2 linked regions of the Lonchura striata genome follow. The main gene of each other region encodes a partner of the protein of the gene in region 2 in a complex. Links are inferred from orthologs where the notes say so. Each region holds a gene or a part of one and is shown on either strand. Other genes may lie near its edges.

Region 1 (7,168 bases), on a different chromosome or scaffold from region 2:
ATACATTAAAATTCACTGAAGGTACACTCAGGAAGATTTATGAGGTCAGGGATCCATTCCCAAGGAAATCAGGGGAGTGGCCTCCAAACCCAAGGACAAATGGTAAAAATAATTTGCCTGCAAAGTTTGAACAAAATCAACCACACATTTTTTCCCCCTCCTACTCCACTTTCCTTAATGTGACAAATGTACACACACAATTTTTCTGCTCCTGTCACAGCACTGTCAGTGTGCCTTAGCACCAGGATCCCTTCATTCTGGGAGTATCAAGATACAGAAAGCAGATTGTTCAGAGTGTTTGAGAAGACATGACACCTGGTACGAGAGAGGAGCCAGGAATATCAAATACACTGGTATTGGAGTGAAAGTCTATTAATGCATAAACAACAAATGTTTAATTATGGCAATTTTCAATCCCAAGTACAGAGAGCTGAGAATTTACAGGGTCCAAACAATCCTAAGTGCAGCTGTAATCTCTTGGCACTCTGTGGAATAGGAACTTGAAACATTGGAAGAGACTCCTTACCTTGCAAAGGCTGGCTGAAGAAACAGGCATGGAAAGAAATTTTTATCATGTTTTTTACCATTGGCAGGTGTGCTCACACTAGGAAACATTCCTAGTTTGGATAAATTTCCTAAGAATTCATGTCACAGCTTTCAGAAAAATAATTTATAAAGGGAAAAATATTTTTACTTGCATACAAAGTACACCACAGCTTCTAGTAAATGCAGCGAAGAGCTGAATTTGGAGATTATACAGGAGAGGTGGGAGAAGGGGGTTTGTCTGTGCCACTGGAAATGCCATTCACAAAGTCCCCAGATACATGTTGTGTCACTGAACACACTGATAAACTTTTAGTCTAAGCACAGCACAAACAAATGACTGTTGTCCTGCTTAGTTCATAAATAATTCTGCTATGTACTTTTTATCAAGTACTTAAAGAATACAAAGCAGTGTGTGGGCAAAAACACCCCATCCTGAGGAAGAGGCAAATGGGATACTTGACATAAATCAAATAAAAGGGGACCATGGCGGGGATGGACATTAAACAGCTTCACAAAATAAAGGCTTTAAAGGAAGAGAATAGTTGGAAAGTCCAAAAGTCAACAAAAGGAGTTGTCAAGTTGAGAAGGGCTCAGCTGGGTGGGGTGTGAAGTCAGAGGGGTGGGAGAGCAGAATGAAGAGCTGGAGGAATAAAGATGGAGTTAAATTCCTAAATTCCTCTTGTTTGTGAGTGATGCTGGAGCTGCTCAGAGATGGCAACACCTCCCTGCAAGGGCTGCAGCTCCAAGCCCCATTTTGCAGTCAGTTTTCAGCACAGAGATTTTAGGAGTGGCTCGAGAACAGGCTGCGCCTCTGAGGAGAGGTGGGGAATAACCAAAATAGCCCTGGAGTTGTGTTGGATGATGAAGGACTGCTGAACAACCAGTGATGTAAGGAAGCAGTTTGGCAAGGAAAAAGAGGACAGATTTCCTTAAGTACAGAGGGACTCCACTTTCAAAAGCACAGAGATGTGACTGTATCCCAGCCAAAAAGTCTATTTAAAATGAGATTTTAATCAGCCTGCCCAAGTAAATAACTGTAGGCACCATAGCAGAAGTACCTTGCTACAGTGCTGAGGCAGCGTCTGCCTCATTTTTAATCACAATTAACTGTGTGCTGAGATGAAAATTAAGCTGGGCTCTCAGCAGCTTCCAGTGCACTATCATTTCCTGTGATCTATGACAGAAAGAGGAAAATAGTGCAGCAGCCTGAAAAGTGTCAGATCTAAGCAGTGTAGCTTCCCTAACCTGATACAAAATGTTGTCTTTGGTTGTAACTATTTTCTACTCCCATTATCTCCCTAATTGTCACTTACAGGCCACCAGAGAAGTGGCTTATTTGAAGTGGCCAGCAAGACAAAAACCCTGCATTGATTTATAGTATCAAGAATTACTTTGAAAGGGATCTGAGGATTTGGTATCTGACCTCCAGTGTGCTGGGGGTAAGAAAAGGGAATTTATCTGTGATGGTGAATGGCATTCTGCCATTGCTACACATTATCACAGACTCACCTTCTGCTTATCTTAGAACAGGAAAAATCACACATATTTGTATATCTCAGTAACAGTTTCTACAACATGGCTAAAGAGAGAATCCTATAAATCAGAAGAAAGACTCAGCTGTGATGTTGTGGCACAAAGGTCTCCCCTTCCCTGGGGGCAAGGAGGGGAAGTGACTCCCAAGAGCCTCAGAACAGACCATGGCCCTTCCCAGCACCCACCACCTAATTCCTACTGGCCATAAAAATTAAATCCCCTCTTCGAGGGGAAAGCTGATAAAACTTCATTTTGACTTTTCATAAATAATCATAAATATGATTATTTATGAGTCATATCAACAGAAAGTTACACTCGGTAGGAAGAGCTGCATCTTCCTGTAAGGTTTTTAAACTTTTGAGGGGCATTCATTGGCTTCAGGTGCTACCAAGAATGCTCTTCTTGGTGAGAAATTTTCACCTTCCTATGAAGGTTCTTCCTAATAGAAATTTTTAATAAACTCTGAAAAGCAATATTTTTTTCCCTGAAGAAAAGTGATTTGAAATTATTTACCCGCCTATTTCTGAATTAAATAAAAATAAGAGTTTTTCTGAGTTGAAATAACTTATTCTATACCTTATAGTTGACTTTCAGTGGTCACTACAGTAGCTGAAATTTTTGGTGGAAGATGATGAAGGTATTAAAGTTCTGATATTATGTTTTGGATCCCCTTGGCACAGGAATTAGGAAGTGCAACAGTGTCCAGGCTGACAAACACAAATTAAATCAGGCCTGTCCTTCTTCACTCCTGAATACCCAAGGAAATAGCACAGCTCAGGAGAGCCATTCACAGACTAGAAAAACAGAAACAAGCACAACAGAAACACATTTTCTCTGTGAAGGATGGCTTCCACCTCTGTCTCTGGCAGATTTCCCTCTCTCCAAAGCATCACCCCAAACACCCCTGGAGCACTCACCCCGCTCACAGCACCTCCATGTCGGCGTGGACGGATCTGGGCGGCGAAAACCAAAGCAAAGCCCCGCTGACAACATCCAAAACTCATCTGCCAAAGGACCAAAACCACACTCAGGCTCCAGACTATCCCAAAAACACAAAAGTACCCTGCTCCAGGCATCTGGTGTGCTCAGCTGGGGAGCAGAGCCAGGGGAGCGCCGAGGAACCGCGGCCGCACGGAGTTTGCTCCATCTGAAATTAGGGAGCAGGGAGAAACTGGCCAGGCAACAACTCTTGACTTCAGAGCTGCTAAAGTGGGATGACACACAGGCAGTAATTACACACTGGAGTGTTACCAAAGCTGAGTTGCTCACAGGTGACTTCACGGCAGCAGTGGAGTATCTCAGGTGATTGCTGCTCTGCAGTTTACACGCTCTTTGCAAAGGGAAATGGTCATGCAGCTGCATTTGGGTTGTAAATGACACCTTTATGTCATGCTCAGTTTGTTACATAGCAAGGACCGACTCAGAATGCAGAAAGCAAAAACAAGGAAGTGATCCTAAGTGCTCCAGCAAGCAGAAATTTTTGCTGTTACTTCAAAAATTCACAAACTACATTAGAAAATCTTATAATTGCACAGTGCTGTCAGGGAAAACATGGGGGGTATGTTTACATTTTTCTCTACCTGTAAAAGTTTTTAATGAATATGTCCCCACAGGGGCTGTGGGAACATAACCAGTTGGGCTTCACATCCCTGTGACAGGCAATGACTTTTCTCAGCTTTTCTATTTTGGAGCTGTTGAGCAATGGTGAATGCAGAATTCTGGTCTGGCACATACCAAAAGAGTGACCATAAGTTCCTCTGCTCTTTTTATAGAGTCTTTGCATTATCACCAGAAATAGGATGTGAAAAACTCCTATGTCTTTGTAGTCAGACCTGCAAGGTGTATTTACAGCTGCTGGTCTTGAGTTAATTATTAGATAGGCAGCAAAACAGGAATCTTTTTTCAGCTGTAGACAAGGGCAAAAAAAAGTCAAGTTTGGGTGGTGTTTTTTGGTAGGACATAGGGCAAATTTTGGAAGTAAAACCAAAATATCTTTGGCTACTACAACACAGACATTTTAATCCAAAGACTATGGCATTAAAGTACATCTACAAACTTAAGGTAAGCTCCTCCTGTTCATAAATTATTTTTAAAAACAGGTCTGCTGGGTGTTACATTTGCCTCAGACCTTGTGTGAAATGCCAGGAGCACTGCACAGCTCCTGCTAATGAATCAGCTCCCAGCAGCTGCATGGGGAAAGGGGCTCTGCCTGGGCTGGTTGTGTTTGGCACTGGGGATCCCTTTGGTTGGAGGTGCTGAGCACACAACCAACTCTGCCTGACAAATTCCTGCTCTGTTCCAAACCCCGTGCCAGGAGATGTTGTTCACATCTTGCCAAATGCCTGAACAGAGCTCTGACAACCCAGAGGCAGCTGCTTTGATGGTCTTTTAGTGTAAGAACCTGGAATAAAGATTGGGTCCTGCCATTCCCTCCTGCCTGGGACAGCACCAGCTTGGTTCTCAACACAAACTGCAAGGAACTGTTTAATTGAAGTCACTCTGAGGATGGAAATGGGAAAAGGCATATGAAATCTGGGTGAAGGTGCATTTGAGGACTCTTGCTTTACCTCTGATCAACCACAGTAACAGAAATCCTTTTGCTAAGGAGGGAAAATGAATTTGGCAGCAAGCAGGACTTTGAATTTGGAAAGCAGCTATATCTGAAAGCAGCCAGATCTGTGGGGTTTAGCAGAACACGGCACCTAGCAGCAAGGTCTATTTATAATGTTGTGGCAGTTATCCAGAGAGGAAAAACCAGGACAAGCAGCAGCAAGAGAGGCAGAGCCCTGCTGCCCACAGAGAGGTGCAGGGACTGCAGGAGCTGAGAGCAGCTCACAGCAGCTCCACTCCACCCTGCCTGCTCTGTGAGCTGCTCCTTGCCCTGCCAGGGCAGCCTTGACCCCCTGAACCCCAGTGTGGCCTTTCCTCTCAGATCTGGGGAGCAGGAGCCCTGCCTGGTTCTGGCTGATGTCCCTGAAAACAGAATTTTGGGGTGCTGTGAGCCTGAGCTGGGCTGCTTGTGAGGACAGACTTGAGGGGCAGGAAGTGAGAGGCAGAGCTACAGCCAGTCACATCTGTGCGAACATTTTCTTCCAGTTTTAATCATCAACCTGCTCAGCCTTTTTGTCCCCTGCTCCACCCCGCTGTTTCTGACAAGGGCAGCAATTTCAGGAGCCATGGAGGGTTTTCCAAGAGGCTCTGTCCATGACCATTTTATAGAGTTTTACAGCAGTCACCAGCTGCTGCTCCAGCTACTGAAGAGATGCCATAAGGGTTGAGAACATTAATAACATGCATTTCCTATTAAAAATTACTTGAAAATTTCAGCTTTGGACAGTCTGCACAGCACAAATAAGTAGCAGAAGCCCTACGTGGCATTATTTTGTTTTCCTAGCAAGTGTTAGACTCAGTAGAAACCAAAATGAACAAGATGAAGGAAACCCCAGATGGGGAAGAATGAGCATTTGGAGATTTTCCATCTGACATCAGCAAGTCAGAGCAGCGTTTGCTCTTCTGCTGATACAGGACACCGTCCCAGGCAAACTCACATTAGAAGCTATTCAGATTTTATATTTAATTCTCTGATTTTTAGTACCCCAGCAGATTCACTTATGGGAAAAGCCACTATCTAAATACATTTTTGACCTTGAGTAACATCAAGAATAATTGTAATTTACTTATTGTCATCATTCCATCCCCCAAGCTCCTTAAAAATAATCCAAAATATGAGAATTAAAAGCATACCAGTAGCATCCCACTTCCCCTGAGCATAGTGTTTAACTGGTTCACAGGAGTCTCCCATGATTTTTCACTGTGCTCTCCTCACCCCTCCCCTCAGAGTTAAACTTGTCCTGGGATCACCTCTGTGCGCTGCTCTACTAAGAGCTTTTCACACCTCTCCAAACAACTGATAAGCGCTTGCAAATATTTACACATTAGGCTCGTAAATTGCAAGATAAGAGGCTGCTTTATGCAGCTGAGCAACAGGAACATGAATTAGCCTGCAAGTGTGTGACTGTCACCTACCAAGAGACAGCCTTGTGGGAAGTCATTCCAGGAAAATACTGGGATATATCACTTACCAGTTGGTGCAGTCTGGGCTGCAGGGACAAGTCGGCCTCTTTAGCAATTCTATGATGCATTTTTGCACTGGAGAGCTGATTCCTAAAGATCCCTGCCAGAGAACAGTCTCATGCATGAGGGGATGAGAAGGGTTGCTGGAACCTCCATCACAAATATATTCCCTGCAACTGTGGCACTGTGCAGTTTATTCTTTCTGCTTGGGCAAAAGAATTGTTATCCTAATTATTTTCTGTTCTTCCAAGCTACACATGCTGGACCTGATTCCAGCAGCTGCCCTGAGAGTCCTGCTCAGCACAGGAAGGAACTCCAGTCATGGCCCTCCTCAGTCTGTCCCTGCTGTTTTCTTCCTTTCTGCAGCAGGGAAAAACATTTTTATTCTGCATTTGAGCCGTGCCCTGCTGCATCACAGCCAGGGCTCATATGAAGAGAGCAGAAGAGCAAAGAAAAGCCTGACCCTATATCTCAGTTTCTACCCACTCCCTCCAGCCAAAAACCCAAAGCTGCCTCCCTTCCCCCCTTATTATACCCTCTCCCCAGCTGACAGACTGCTCACTTCCACCTGCATCTCCCTAATTCCCACATCTGTGGCCAATTCCCTATGCAGGCATGGGCTCAGTAATTATTAAGTTGAAATAAGTGCAGTAAAAACCCACTTTATGTTAGTGGCATCAATATTTGACTTCAGGCCACAGTTATCCCTCTTGGCAAAGTGTCAGGGCTACCTAAGCATGAGATCATGATAAGCAGTGGCAAGAATGGATTTGTTACCTTTTTTCCAGTGTGTTTTCCTGCATTTGTGCTGTTCTCTGGCACTCCTGAGGCAAAACCTAACAGCCCAAACTTACAGATTCCTTTGACAGCCCTCTGTGTACAGATGTGCATGTCCAGATGTGCAGGGCGGTGGCTCTTGTCCCTGTCCTGTGAGCATGTCCTGCTGCTGGTGCTGTGTGTCACAGGCTGGGCACACAGTGGGGAGGCTCACCAGGCCATAAGACCTTTGGAAGAA
Region 2 (8,100 bases):
TGACTAAAAAAGTCACATTCAAACAGGATTTCCTGCCAGCTCATGAAAGCTATGCCCAAAAAGCATGACTGAGAAAACACACACACACAAAAAAAAAAAAAAAAAAAAAAAAAAAAAAGAGGAAAGAAAAATAACTTCTGAGTTTGCCCTGAAATTTCTGAATCAAAGTCAACAATCTTCTCTAGTAAAAAGATTTATATAGAATTAAAACAAAAATGCATACTATAAAGTTAAATATGGAAATCTCAGATTCAAAAGATACAAGCCAAGTGGGATACAGAACATTAAACAGGATTCTAGAATAGCCTTACAGTGAAGTGTGTGATGGCCACTCCTGAATTTTTAAAATTAAGAACTACACACAATGTAAACTAAAGTATCAATATCCAGGAAGGCTTTCTGACAAGTACCATGTAAAATATAAGGAAAACGTGTGAAGGTAAATAAGGTTAATTAATATCTTAAAAGTGGATATTTTTAATGATGTCTTTAAAGACCTCAAGTCTTACCTTCCCCTTTCTTTTCGAGTTTCTAACAGAAAAGCAACATTTTTTTTTTTCTCAGATCTTGTTAAAACTCGATTCTTTAGCCATGTAAAAGAGGGAAAATTTGACTGTAAGTGAAAGTCTAGAGCACCATGTCCTTTAATTCAGTGATGGGGACCTTCATTCGATTACCTCATAGCTATGGGACAAGACACGGCAAAAGCCAAATGATAAAATATTAAATTATATTTTCTTCCTCCTCAGGCAAAGAGTGAGTATAGCATTAGATTAGTTTGAAAGACTAAAAAGGAAGAAGAGGAGTCTGCAATATGCATCACAAGTGACTAATACAATTTTTAAGCCCCGTTTATTCATATAATCAGGCATAAGCACTTATGCTAACTGTGGAAACCTCGAATGTAATACATAGCCCAAATGAATTCCAGATTAGTGCATGCTTCAGTGTTTCATGTTCTCCCTTGCACATGCCTAGTGAAAGCCTGCCACTCTGCAACAGAGGAAGGAATTACTACAACAAAACCATAGGCAGACTTTGCCAGAAACTATACTTTTTTTTGAAATGAGGCAGAATAAGCTGAGTGTTTTAAGTAATGGATAGGTTTGCATCCCACTGTCTAGCAGCAGTTATTCCAATTGTGTTTCACAGCTTCATCAGAGAGGCAGAAATATGAACAAACTATAGGAGCATTCTCCATAATCTGCACTGAAACAAATGACACTCCCTTCAGTCAGAACATCTTCCACCATTATGGGAAAGGATTCATTTATCTTTCAGCTATAAACCTGAGTTAGCTACATGTTCACCATACTGACATCCCAACATTTTTTAATCTTATGATGTCAATCTTGCATCTACGTAAAAATGTGTATTTCAGTGTGTAAAAAGATCTCTTGCTGCTGACAACTCAAAGTGCATTAACTTGGGAAGCCTTGAGATTTCCACACACACCCACACACTCCTTTCAGTACAGATCTCACTGATTAGAAAACAAAATATCCACAACTTAATAGACCTTTCACACACAGTGGCATTTCTGCAGAAGCATACGTTTCCAACACTTCAACTTTTACTTTCATCACTATTAGCAAGTTATTTTCCCAAGTTATTTCCTACACACACACCATGCCCAGTGCCCCTGCTGAAACTACCACATTCACTGAAACTGAATGAGCTCCTAGTGAAACATCAGAGCTTAGCTGTAAATATGTGTAAATACTTTTATTCTGTGCTGCTTTCCTGTTAGAATACAACATGCATCAAGGTCACTGTAACAGATTGCAGTTTTCAGGCTCATAGAGAAGACACTGAGGAAATCAGTAAGAGCAAACTTAAATAAGCAGTGTTTAAAGTTCTGCCTTCTCCCAAACCTGCCCAGAATTCACATCTCTGTTTCCTGCATTTCAGTCAGGTCTATTCACAGGTTCGGGAACGCTATCACTGCTGAAAGGTGAATAGAACTCGTTCTTTGCAGTGTGACCGGTCTGTTCTGAGCTCTCCGAGTTTTTAGCTACAGATTACAGCCCCATGGGCCTCTCCCTTTGAAGTGGAGTTCCTCTGAATTAGTCCCCTGCCTGCAACCTGTCCTCCATACACTGAAATAAATTACAGTCAACTTTTCCCTTCATTGCCATGTCAAGTGTAGCAATAAATATCCACAGGCTAAAAGCAAACAAACAAGACTGGACGAACCATAACCTCACAGCAAGAGCATCTCAAGGAAGAACACCAGGCAGGGCACAAGAAAGTTAAGGGCATAAAAATCAAAACTCACTATCTGAATCCATAAGTGCGTATGTAAGGCTAACATGCTTCTTGCCTCTCTCCCACAAGAAGCACGGGTGAAAAGCAATTAAGGGGCTCCTACAATTTAGTTAGAGTTCAGCAAAGAGGAGAAAGCATTTTACATTATGAAATGCCTGGGAAAAGGCATCATCTCTTTCAGTTGCAGAAGTGGGAAGCGTTGGGACACGGAGCTTCTTTCCCGGCTATGCACCGGAGCACCGCACCAGCGGTCCGCCCGCGGCGGACTCCGGCGGAGTTGGAGCGGGGCTCCCCTGCAATCCCGGCCACCAATCCCCCCCGCACCTCAACCCCCGAGAACTGATGCTGGCGCCGCCGACCATCCGGCCTCGAAACTGGCAGCAACCGATCAGCAGCTGCAAAAAAAAAGTCACTCGAGACGAAGGAAACGCAGCGAAAAGGAAGCAAGAGCTTACTTGCCTATACAGCACCGCCGGACGACCTCCTCGCAGCTGAGAAACGCTGTGCCGCTCGTCCTCCTCCCACCGCTCCGTGCTAGTTCCAAAATAATTCCTCCGGGCGCCGGCACATCCCCGGGCTCAGCCGAGGAGCGCAGGGAGCCCGGCCGCCTCTCCCCCCCGCCCGGTGCCCATGGTGTCAGCCACAGCTCCGGCAACTCGCGCTCCTGCCCGCCGGCGCTACCTCGGGGCGGGCCGCCGGCTAACAGGGCATCGCAGCCCGGCCGCCGCCGCACCGGCTCGAACTCCGCCGCGCTGGGGGGGAGCGAGGGGCTCCCCGCGCCCTTCCCGGAGACGGAGCGGGGGCGCCGGGCGGGGGCGTGCGGGGAGCAGCGCCGCCCCTCGCGGCGGCGAGCGGCCAGGCGAGGCGCGGCCAGGCGAGGGGAGGCGAGGCGGCGCGGCGCCGCCACCGCGGCCGCAGCCAGGCGCGGCGATGCCGGCCCCGCCCGGGACCCCCGCCCGCCCCCCCGCCGCTCCCGGGGCGCTCCGTAACGCCGCCCCGCTGCCGGCGCCAGCAGATCCGGTGACGCGCAGCCCTCCCCCGGGCCGGCCCCCGTGCCGGAGAGGGGCGAGCGGGCGGCGAAGCGGGAGCCGCTTCCCACGGGCAGCGGGAGGGTGAGCTGGACCACCGGCGCGCAGGGACAGAGCGGTCCCGGGCGCGGCGGCGGAGCTGCCGAGCGCCCGGGGGAGGCGGTGTCTCCTGGGCTGCGGGAGAGCCCGCTCGCCCGGAGCCCGCGGAGCTCTCCCCGGTCCTAGGGAGCTGCGGCTGGCCGCTCACCCCGTGCCCGGCAGGAAAGTTATCGGCTCCCCCTCTTTCCTCACTCAACCTCCTCTTTAGTTCAGCTGCCTTGGCTGCCCTTTCTGCCAGCTGTGTGACAGGGTTTCGGCTGGCCGCTCGCCAGAGGGACTGTACATCGATCCCCCATGTAGGGAAGAAATTTGGTGCCGGTTCTATTACTTTGCCTGGCTGGCTTGGCGCGGCACCGGCGCTGCCTTCTCCGCGCCCCGTCTCCCAGCCTCTAACCCAGAGCACGGCTCTGCGGCGACCACCGCCACCGGCGCACAGCCAGCGCCGCTCTTCCGGGCTGCCTCGGACAAGGAGGGGGCCCAAAGGGTGCAAAAGGGGTGAGGGACAAGCTGCCCTGTGCCTCGCGAAAGCCCTGCGTGATCCTCGCTCTCCCGTTCCGCACGCTCGTGCTTCCAGCAGCGCGCACGGTGCCCGGCCGGAGATCCCCCGCAGGCATGGATGGCCCTCGCCGTCGGACAGCGCTGCAATGACACGCTCTAACGCAGCTATCAGTCACTTACACAGGCACACCCATATATATAAAACATAGATATGTATGTACATGCATGAACACACCCCCATACGCATAGGCGGCCGCCGCGGGGAAACCGCATCTCCCCGCGGATGGGGCCGCCAGAAGTCGACCTGCCACGGTGAAGGCAGGAGGAGAATGAAGGCGGCGGGGAAAAGCAGCAGGAGAGAGCCCGAGGGGAGCCGCCACCGGAGCCGCCTCTCGGCGCCGCGCTGGCCGCGGGCTCCCGCGGCGATGCCGGCAGCCGGGCTCGCCGCCCGCCGGCGCTGCGGAGAGCTGCGGGCAGGGAATCCCGCGGAGCCTCTGCGCCTCCTTGGTGTCGGGGAGAGCCCGGCCCTCGTGGGGCTTTTGCCAAACTGAGAGTGAGTGGAGCAGCAGTGGTCTCACCCGCATGCTCTGGGGCCCCTTCTAGCTCTTGGGAATGTTTCTCTCTAGTTAGGCTGAGGATGTCTGGGAGGGTGTCACAATTAAAAGTTCGCTAGAAAGGAGATTGAGCTTTGCTGTTCCGTAGCTTCTCCGATAGTCCTTTTCCCTTCAACTTCTGTAGGCTTCTTCTAATGAAAAGTGGTTTTCACGGGCATCTCACAGTTAAGGGCTTTTCTTCAACCAAGTTGGCAGAAACAAAAATGTTTCTGTTCCTTATGCACTCCTTTTATAAATATTACCTTCAATAATGTGCAGTGAGCTATTGAGGGGGGAAAAGATTTAAACAGACAGCTTAATGCAAGCTAAATGCAAAGCTAAGAGAGTTGCTCCGAAGAATAAAGCTAAATGTTGGGTTGATAAGTGCCTTAGAAAATGCATTGATAAGTTTCATGCCTAATTGAACAGATCTGTACTTCATGTACTTGTCATCTTGAGATACAGATCTTTATCTTTCCTTGTTTACTAGTATTGAATTGATACCAACAGTTCTTGATAGCTACAAACTAACCAAGCTATTTGTCCTACTGAAAGATTGAATAGTTTGAACTGATAGTTCTTCTGACAAGACTGAAAAAATAAATTATTAAAATGGTACATATATGAGGACTGGGATGATTGAAAATCATGTCTGAGAATTTAAATAAATGAAATGTAATGAACTAAAAACTTATCAAAGACAGAAGTGAAGTGGAATTCATGCCCTGCTGGGAAAGTCAACACCCAAGAAAGAAATTTATAAACAAAGTAGAAACAAAAAATATTTTATTACCTTTTAGTTGCTTTGTCTAGAGTCAGTCCCATACTCAAATTTCAACAGGGACAACGTCCTCAGTTTTCGCTATCAGAGTCACCTATTGATTATAGAATCAATACATATCCTGTTCCCCCATCTGTAGGAAGAGCTGTCATTTTTCATGGAGACCTCCCACTTCATTCTTTGTGTGATAATGTAAAGTGGATAGCTCAAGCAAGAAAGGAAATTTCATTTCACAAGAGGAAGCTGTTCTATTTTAGTGCAGTATCTTTCAAACTATTTTAAAATATATTAATATTTATTAAAAACATATTGATATTTATTAAAATACATATAGGTTGCAAGTTTCATTACCACTAAGAATATGCTGAAGATGAAGTCTACCAAACCAGGTGAAAAAAGTGTGCAGTATTTTTTATCATTATCAACCACATTGTGTGAAATAAATGTGCATTCCAGTTTTACACACAATTACATTCATGTTACATTCATGTTGTATTTTTGCTTCAGGCAGAACAAACACAAAATAAGATTTTTACGTATACAGAAATCAGATGTCAGGTAAATTTAAGATGTAGTCAACAACATGAAGCAACATTTATAGTCAGAGAGGTGAGCCAGAATTGTTTTTATGTAGTATGGAATATGTTAATTAAGAAATTTCACGTAATAAGATGATGGTAGATTGGCATCTGTTTTAGATTCTTCAGCTTCAGCAGCCTGGCACCACTCAAGTCACCAACAAGGATGGAGTGACAAAGGATGAGAAGCATTAAAAATGGAAGAAATGGAGGCTAAGCATGAAGAAAAATTGTCATTACTTAAAAAATATGAGAATGAAAGGAAGAATTTTACCCACCAAGCAAGCGAGTGACACTCTTGGTAAAACTGTATTGACTACCTATCTGCAAAAGATCATTTTTCTTCTTTTCTGTTTCATAAATGACTACAGCATCCATTTTTTTTTTCTGAATGTATAGCTCACTTTGAGTGTGGGCAGGGCTTCTGGCATTTGGCAGCCAAACCCTTATGCATGTGTCTGTCACACATAAGCCTCCCTCTGAAAATGCTGGGAAATAAAGGGCAGAGAACTCAGCTTTGAAAAAGTGCATGGGAAAAGAAACTACCAGTTGTAGTGGCCAAGTAACATGAATGTATGAGAAAGATGTTTAAATGCTTTGGGAAATAGAGAGTGGTTTTTGTCCAACATCACTGCAGCATTAGATTTTCCATTCCCGTAGCGTGTCCTACCACCTCTGGGAACACATCATGGCTGATAGGTTATTAATTGGTTCTGTGAGAATAGAATTAATCTATTTTCAATATCCACTTTTGGAAAAGAGAGCAGTCAGAGTAACAAATGTAACACCATCAAGGACAGGTGTCACACTTTATAGAAAGTGGATCACAAGGTCATCGATAAGCTCCTTGGTATTTTGTGTATCAAGGTGCACATGAAGAGCACATTCCCAATTCCTGATGATATAATTTTGGTTTTAACTTCCATTCACAGACTGATAATAATCCACACAACTATGTCAAAAAATATGTGAGTATATTCCCTCTTTTTTCCCCATTTAGTCTAAACTAAGCTTCACAAAAATACTCCATTTACGAGTATCAGGCACCCTTATATAAAATAATGTGTCATTTGTCACCATGGCTTGTAATCTGAAAATATGACTGGGGAACTGATGGAGACCAAAATAGTCTTCTACAGTCTGTAGGTGGCCAAAATATTCTGCAGCTATATTCCATAAAATTCCTTGCTGCCGTGACTTCTTTCTCAAGAACTCTTGTCAGTCCACTTAAAACTCTCACTCACATGGGCCCAAAGAGAGACATGGGGGTTTGTTCAAATTGTAACTAAATATAGTTATACATTAAAATTCCTCTTTTCTCATGTAAACAGGATAGTAGCAATTCCATAAATTCTGCGCAAATTTTTACTTTGAAATTCTGGGCTTTTAAAATCATCTAAAGGCTTGAAAAATTTAAAACCATACAGCTTGAAACCTAACAGCAGAGAATCTCAAGCGACACTGGGAAATTCATAGTCTTAATATCATTCCTTAATCCTAAATTATACATGCAGCCTGTATATCATAATCAGTACTGTTATTATTTATGGTAGTCTATAAATGGCTTGCATCTCATTAATGGGTATTTTTAACAGAGAAGATAATTTGGATAAAATTTTAACAAAGGATTGTAACTACTCTCAAGGAAATTATTAGCATTATTTGCCTTAGTAATTAATTTATTAAAATAAACTATTACAAATCAAAAGAGACAAGTAAAACATCATGGGCTATAAACAGTATGACCTAAGAAAATTATTGATTATATTTTTCTGTTTCATTCTCAACAAAAAACAATTATATTTGCTTTCTCACAATTATCCTATTTCTTCAACAAAAGGAGATAGAATTCCCCTATGTGCATTTAAAAATTAATTGTACACATTGCAAAGTTTGAAAATGTTTGGGTTTTTTTTTTACATTTGGAAGAAAAATAACTCATAAAAATATAATTTGAAAATAACTAATGTACATTCTGTAGGATTTATGAGTCTTCATAAGAAAACAAAAAAAACATAAAACATTATTAAGGATGGGAAATAATTTATTTCTTCACAATTTTTGAAGTGATAGTTAAAAGATTAGACAGTGTAATTCAAATCTGGGATGTGATCTGCAGATAATTTAATTGTTTAAAGCATTTTGAAATATATGTGGGTGCATCTATATTTTATAAAAATGATTGGTATGTTGCTGGCATTAAAGTCAACTGTATATACTTGAGGCAATGCTTGTGGATGGAAGTCTCAGCTCTA

What was found. The genes of interacting proteins can lie anywhere in the genome.
Region 1: the proteins of SNTG1 (region 2) and TRPV3 are in contact, whole or in part, in a crystal structure (PDB 7QQN), measured with the Homo sapiens proteins. The link is inferred for Lonchura striata from reciprocal best matches to the Homo sapiens genes SNTG1 and TRPV3. Residues at the interface, in NP_001274742.1 of Homo sapiens: Arg62, Gly66, Gly67, Phe68, Gly69, Leu70, Ser71, Ile72, Lys73, Gly74, His78, Ser85, Lys86, His118, Glu119, Val122, Arg126; in NP_659505.1 of Homo sapiens: Pro786, Glu787, Thr788, Ser789, Val790.

Annotation. Positions count from the first base shown.
Region 1 is NC_134622.1:8,440,555-8,447,722, reverse strand, and holds the start of TRPV3 (transient receptor potential cation channel subfamily V member 3), read right to left. Parts: upstream 3,047-7,168; 5' UTR 2,997-3,046; intron 1-2,996. UniProt on the Homo sapiens protein: Non-selective calcium permeant cation channel. It is activated by innocuous (warm) temperatures and shows an increased response at noxious temperatures greater than 39 degrees Celsius. Activation exhibits an outward rectification.
Region 2 is NC_134603.1:41,399,857-41,407,956, forward strand, and holds the start of SNTG1 (gamma-1-syntrophin), read right to left. Parts: upstream 3,032-8,100; 5' UTR 2,724-3,031; intron 1-2,723. UniProt on the Homo sapiens protein: Adapter protein that binds to and probably organizes the subcellular localization of a variety of proteins. May link various receptors to the actin cytoskeleton and the dystrophin glycoprotein complex.